Linked DNA regions of Oryctolagus cuniculus. The protein of the gene in region 1 purifies or fractionates together with the protein of each later gene. This does not show direct contact. Links are inferred from orthologs where the notes say so. Each region holds a gene or a part of one and is shown on either strand. Other genes may lie near its edges.

Evidence for each region. The genes of interacting proteins can lie anywhere in the genome.
Region 2: the proteins of CTCF (region 1) and RPL26 purify together in Homo sapiens (affinity purification with mass spectrometry; 3 studies listed by BioGRID and IntAct, with this or other methods). This does not show direct contact. The link is inferred for Oryctolagus cuniculus from reciprocal best matches to the Homo sapiens genes CTCF and RPL26.

The regions. Positions count from the first base shown.
Region 1 is NC_091449.1:50,882,005-50,884,761, forward strand, and holds the end of CTCF (transcriptional repressor CTCF), read left to right. Parts: intron 1-635; coding exon 636-820; 3' UTR 821-2,130; downstream 2,131-2,757.
Region 2 is NC_091448.1:52,826,476-52,830,721, reverse strand, and holds the start of RPL26 (large ribosomal subunit protein uL24), read left to right. Parts: upstream 1-1,350; 5' UTR 1,351-1,483; exon of another isoform or gene 1,484-1,820; intron 1,821-2,195; 5' UTR 2,196-2,200; coding exon 2,201-2,368; intron 2,369-3,221; coding exon 3,222-3,362; intron 3,363-4,246.

The DNA of each region.
Region 1 (2,757 bases):
CAGAAGTGGAGCTGCTTGGTCTCGAACTGGTGCCTATATGGGATGCCAGTGCTTCAGGCCAGGGCGTTAACCTACTGCGCCACAGCACCAGCCCCTTAATTATTTTTTGAATGTTCTCCCTGAGCTCCAAGAATAGAGTTCTGTCAGAGAAAAGGAGGTTAAGTGCAGATCTTAGAAGCAGCTCTCCGGTTTCTTCTGCACACACTGGAGTGAGCAGACAGGTGGGAGGGCCTGGGTGTGGGAGAACTACAGAATCAGAAATGTCCGCTTGTCGTAGGTGTGTCACCTACGTCACACACTCTTCAAGTAGCCTTAGTCACATGCTGTCTCATTTCTTGCCTGCATCTCATAGTATCAATTTCTGACTTAAAACTAAGGATTTTTACGTGTAACTTGGGAGGCGTGTGAACGTGAATGTCAGCCTTTTGTGCTCTGATGGTTTTCAGAGAACTGGGACTCTGTGTGTCCATGTTCTGGGTCTCTCTAAGTCTCTGCTTTATTGACTTTCTCCGTGTCACTACTAAGGCTCCCTGTATGTTGCTATCCCGTGGACTGCACTGTGTAACAGGGTCTTGTACTCCTGGGGGCTTTAATGTACCTTTTGTTTTGTTTTGTTTTGTGCTCCTCTTTGCCAGCAACAGCCATCATCCAAGTTGAAGACCAGAATACAGGTGCAATTGAGAACATTATAGTGGAGGTAAAAAAAGAGCCAGACGCCGAACCCACGGAGGGTGAGGAGGAGGAGGCCCAGCCAGCTGCCACAGATGCCCCCAACGGCGACCTCACGCCTGAGATGATCCTCAGCATGATGGACCGGTGATGGTGGGGCCTTGCTGGGCGCCGGGACTGCTCTGGGCTGTGTTTAAACGGCCCACATCTTAATTTTTTTCCCTTTTTTCTTCTTTTGGCTTTGGGAAAAGCATCATTTTTACACCATTTTACCAAACAAACTGAGAACGAAAACTTCAAGGATGATGTTAGAAAAATGTGATTTAACTAGAACTTGCTGTTTGATGTTAACAAATCATGGAATGTCTGAGTCCCTGCGGGTTTACTGTGAAGTGCTGAGGGCAGTGTTGACGCCTGACTGGTTTCTGAGACGGAAACAGAGACATTGGCCCCTCTCTCTCAATACGGTAAACCACTCCAGAATGGCTGCCGGGTTTCCCAGAGTTCTCTGGTCTTCTTCCCAAGAGAGTTTTTAATTGTAAATGCAGACTTGGGGAGGCCTTAGACTTTTAACCTGTTTTTTGCTTTTGCTTTTTCTCTGACTCCTTGCTCGAGTCAGCTGCACACCAGTAGTACGGCATGCTACGATCGGTTACTGTCCTGAACGCTTTGCCTCTTTCTTGGCAGAGTTTCTGGTATGGTCAAGCTTGTAAATAACTTTTTTTACATTTTAATCTTTTCCATTAATTAAGAGGTTGAAAAGAAGTGCAGTGTGAGAAAACCCAGCATTTTAATTACTTGCAAATTAAGTTGCCACAGACTTGGTAGTGTGGAATTATTAAAGGAATTGGATCACAATCATGTAGCAGATCGGCACCCAGCCTGCCGCCCGCTAGTGACGAGCCTCCACATGGAAGATCATGATTTCCAGCCCATGGAGCCAGCATTTGAACTTTGTACAATTAACCTTCAGTTATGATTTCCCATTGACATTTTCTTTGCTATGTTTAGCAGAATGTTGCGTTTTACGAATCCCCTGTCAGAGCCAGAGGGTGACTATGAGTGGGTCACAGCAGTCCTGACATGCTGGGCCAGAAATTTTCACTAGGTCAGTAATTTAAACTTTGGATCTTCAAAAACAAATAATAATGTGAAACAAAACCAACTAAAAAATGATTGTTGCACATGAACTGTCACACGTTGAAAATGTGTTTTTTAGAGAGCCTCAGTCTTGCTGATTTCAAACACTTTTTTTCTTCTGTGTATTGCTTTTTAAGAGAGCCATCAGTTAGCTATCAGACTCTAGGTTGATGCATTTTGTACTTAGCTGTACTGTGTGATATTTTTCATTATTTTAGGATGCCAACACGAGACCTGTAATAAAATATGTAATGGGGTTGAAAGCTGGGGAGGAGGATCTACTGCTGTACAGCTAATAAATCATAACGGATTAACAAGTGCTCCGAGGACTCTTGTCTTGTGTGATTCCTGCCTGCTGGCCCCCCGAGGGGCTGGCGCAGAGCTCCAGGCCGTGCCGGCCTCCGCATCTTAGAGGCAGGCTGTGTTCCTGGGATAGTGCTTCCTCTCGGGCAGAAGGAGAGGATCTTATCTTGGAGGATGTCAGGATTGTGAGTGCATCCTGCTGCACATTTAACTCCGCAAAAATGGGTGTGAGGAGAGCATCAAGTGGATGGGCAGTGGCCGGCCTCCGTGGTCCGCCCGAGGAGCGGGTGCCCGCTGCACAGAGCTGTGGAGTTGTAGTTGATGGGAAGCCCTGTCTTAGGATCTTGGCTCAGGGAGGCTGGGACCACTACCTGGGGCTTAGCCAGGTACAGGGGAACAGGAGAAGCTGGGCCCAACCTGCCAGAAGTCCATTTGAAGCGGGAGACACCAGGATTGTACAGGGGCTACTGGTCAGCGCCACGATGATGGACGGGGACTTGGGTCGTGTTAGGAAGCTCAGGCTTCAGCTTGAAGGCATCGTGTAGCTGCTGGCTGTTTCCAGATGGATCGCTTTGGCAGTGTTGGGTTTTCTTAAATTCTTACTATTTACTCGAAAGGCAGAAACAGATCTTCATCCAATAACCA
Region 2 (4,246 bases), on another chromosome or scaffold:
AGAGGGAGTGAGACACAGAGAGAGATCTTCCATCAGTTGGTTCACTCCCCAGGTGCTGCAATGGCTGGTGAGGGGCTGATCCGAAGCCAGGAGCTTCTTCCATCTGCTGGTTCACTCCCCAAATGGCTGCAACAGCTGGGGCTGGGCTAGGCTGAAGCCAGGAGCCAGGAACCAAGAGCTTCTTCGGGGTCTCCCACATCGGTGCAGGAGTCCAAGCACTTGGGCCATCTTCCACTGCTTTCCCAAGCATGTTAGCAGGGAGCTGGATCGGAAGTGGAGCTGCCGGGACATGAACCAGCACCCATATGGGATGCCAGCGCTGGAGACAGTGGCTTAACCCACTACGCCACAGTAACAGCCCCACCAAATGTTTGTAAATCATCAAAATTCCTATTCTCCACAGACAGGACTCTGGGCCCTCAAGGATACTGTTTCTTTGACTTAACCCAGTGGGCTCCTACGATGTGGGGCCATAGAGGGAGTTGCCGGAAGGGGCTGGGGAGCCACCCTGCACAGGCGCCCTGCGACCTTGCACAAGTGTCACACCTCTCGGTGACTCAGCAGCTCCAGGTGTAACATGAGGACAATAATAGCAGCATCAATAGGGCTATTTTGGGAATCCTAGGAGTGGATGATGTAAAACACACAGAAGGGTGTCCCTAGCACTCGGCTAGCTCATTGCGTCTCGGTGCCCTATTACGAAACGTGTGTCTTCTGTCATTAGGACACCATTCATTCCAGAGAAACCACGCCCTAGCCGCGACGCCGCCGGCTCGCCCTACTGCAGCCCACCGCAGCGTCCCTGTGCGCGGGGGCGCACCCCTTCCCCGCCTCCCACAGATCCGGAGCTGAACCACGAGGGGCAGAACGTCCGGACAGGGGCCGTCCGGCTCCTCCCAAGTCAGCGCCGCCACTCTCGGCATCACCCAGGAGTGGGACAGCAACGCTGCTTCAGACCCGCTTCTACGAAGTGGGCTGGGGGCGATCAGGGGCTCCAGCCTTGGGCGTGGGGGCGGCGGGGCGCCCGGCTGGAGCTAACTAAAGGACCTGCACGTTTACACACCCACGTCATTGGCCTGGGCGGGGACCAGGGAGCCCAGGTGACCGGTCGGCCGGGGTCCCAGCGTCACCTGGTGGCCAGAGGTAAGGCCTGTCCTTGCCAGGCTAAGAGGGCGCCAGCCGCCGTGCAACCAGGAGTGCAGGGACGGGGTCCCCTGGGGCCGCCCGCTCCTTCGTCACTCGCCCCGGAAGTCAACAGCAACCCGGCCTTGGAAGGGAGACCTGGAGGAGGGTTTCACAGTCCCTTGCAGTTTCCCTCCGAGCCGCTAGGTGACACTAGACATCCACTTCTCCCAGTTTTCTTTCGACTCCGCGCCCCTCTCTCGCCGAGACATCAATCTCGCGAGATCGCTCGGAAACTTACAGAACCGGAAGTATCGTGTAAACCTTTTCCCTTTGGTGGCCATCGCCGGAGCGGCAGCTGGTGAGGGTTTCCCTGGGAGGCGATTGCAATCCACGCTCATCCGTTCGTGGGCGCGTTGGCTCTCGGATTCGGGGGCCCCGAGACTCTCCCACCAGCCGCACAGCAGCCAGGGAGGGGGTTTGGGGTGGCTTCTGTTTGATGCTTAGCTCAGGGACCACAGAAGGCGAAGGGGAGGGGGACAGGGGATTTGGGGACTCGGAAAGCGGAGCAGGAGCGGAGGAAGTCTAGGAATTGAAGTTTCCTAGATAACTGTTGGCAGTGAAGTCCACGCACAACCGCAGGCCGCGCTCGCCTCTAGGAGGGTCTTTGGGACCTGCGATCTGTGCAGGATTTCCAGGTGGGGGCAGGGTGATTTGGGGGGCGCCAGGTGTTCACACTCAAGTCTCTCGAAGGTGAACTTTGGTCCTTCCAAAACCTGATGTTACAGTTGAAAAATGGAGTTGTCGGTCATCTAATATAAAGAGTTTGGGGGGATGTAGACAGAAAGTTTAGTGATTAAAGCAGCTGTGTTAATGGGGCGCTCTCTCTCCCCCAGGGACATATAGAAAATACCCCAGTGGAGCGTTGTTTCTATTGAGCCTTTAGTCGACCGGCCGTTCAGCTCTCTGGTGTAACTGATGTCTGTGGTCTGAGTTTTTAGGGGGAAGTTGTTGCTGCTGTTTGGGAAGCGTGTGAGGTTTTAGTCATTGGAGGTTCTTAATTCTTCACACAGCCAAAATGAAGTTCAATCCCTTTGTGACTTCTGATCGGAGCAAGAACCGGAAAAGGCATTTCAATGCCCCTTCCCACATTCGCCGGAAGATTATGTCTTCTCCCCTTTCCAAAGAGCTGAGACAGAAGTACAACGTGCGATCCATGCCTATCCGAAAGGATGATGAAGTGCAAGTATGTATTCCTGCTGTCCGGGCGGATTTCAGGATGAGTCGAGCCAAAAACACGTTGCTTTTCAGTTCCCTTTTTATTGGGTGAAAATCCGTTTTCTCAAGCATCAGCTCCAGTCATAATAAAAGAGGCAAATTATCCAAACGCACCAGCAGAAGGTTCCTTGGGAATTAGCCTTTTCTCAGTATGTTGGATCATTGTAAAGGCATTTGAGGGCCCGAAAAGTTGCTAAGAATCTAGACTCAGAATCTCTTTAATGGAACACCATAGTTCCATTAAAGATTTGTCACAGCTACTCACATCTCCAGTAGACCTTGGAAGCAATTGAGTGTTTTGTTTTCAGGATGTAGCAATATAAGGAGGTCAGGAACTGGAAGGAAACGTGTTCAGAAGCACTTTGGGTTGGTTCTAACAAGCCGAGTGATGGCTAGGACTCCTGGATAGCAAACTGCTCACCTTTGCGAAAGAATTGGTTTGTTCACTTGTGTGTTTGTTGGAGTCCACTCTTGCCTGGCATTGAAGTGGGCACTTAACTAGGTTGTGAATTAGACTTGAGGCCAGTTCTGCTTTTGAGACAAAATAACAAGGTCCTTGTTAACTTCCTACAGAAACCCAAAGTGGTGGCTTCTTTTCATCCTTTAAATAAGCCTCCCCCTGCTGGTAGCTGTCAGCTGTAGGGATGCACTGTCCCTCTCTGTAGACACCTGGGGGCATGGTTTAGCTAAAACCAGGGAGCTAGAATCTTAATGTCATTAAGTCGTTCAAAATTGAAAGCTCTTAGAGATTTAATTCACTATTTCCCTTGTAATGATGATCTTGTTTTTATCTGCTTATTCCTGCTATTTTTGAATTTCAGGTTGTGCGAGGACACTACAAGGGTCAGCAAATTGGCAAAGTAGTCCAGGTTTACAGGAAGAAATACGTCATCTACATTGAGCGGGTGCAGCGAGAAAAGGCCAATGGCACAACTGTCCATGTGGGCATTCACCCCAGCAAGGTGGGTGTTCTGAGAACGCTTGAAACAGAAGGAAGTGAGCACAGTTATTAGCAGGTGTGACTGCTTGTTTACAGACAGTCGCAGGGAAACAGTCCCTGATTTTAGATGTGCTGGGAATCTTGTAAAGCAAATTCTGTATTTGTTTTGAAAATTCAAATACTACTTAAAATGTTTCTGAAACCAAAGTGTCTTTAACAGTTGCTCTGTTTGTATATTTAATGTATCTTTTTCCAAAAACTATGGGAAACCTGGCAGATGAACAGCCTTAGCAATTTATAGATCCTAAAATTTAAAAATAAGATCATTATTAGGTGAATTGGAGCCTTAGCGCTGTTCGTTTTTGTGTATCAGAGTGAAACATTAAGGGTGCATTACAGCCCTGTGAAGTAGGTAGGGGACCATTTATATACAGGGAGAGACCCTGCGGCTCTGAAGTCGACCAGGGGTGGTTATTGCATCTAAGCCAACATGGAAAATTGGTCTAATTCCCATCCAGCAGATGCTTTCCATGGTTTTGTTTTTTGACAGAGTGGACAGTGAGAGAGAGAGACAGAGAGAAAGGTCTTCCTTTGCCATTGGTTCACCCTTCAATGGCCGGCGTGCTGCGGCCGGCGCACCACGCTGATCTGATAGCAGGGGCCAGGTACTTATCCTGGTCTCCCATGGGGTGCAGGGCCCAAGCACTTGGGCCATCCTCCACTGCACTCCCTGGTGACAGCAGAGAGCTGGCCTGGAAGAGGGGCGACCGGGACTAGAACCCGGTGTGCCGGCACCACAAGGCGGAGGATTAGCCTAGTGAGCCGCAGCGCGGGCCTTCCATGGGTTTTTATGTGAATTCTCCCTAAAGCTAACAGCTAATGCATAGTGATGAGTGTTGAAATACT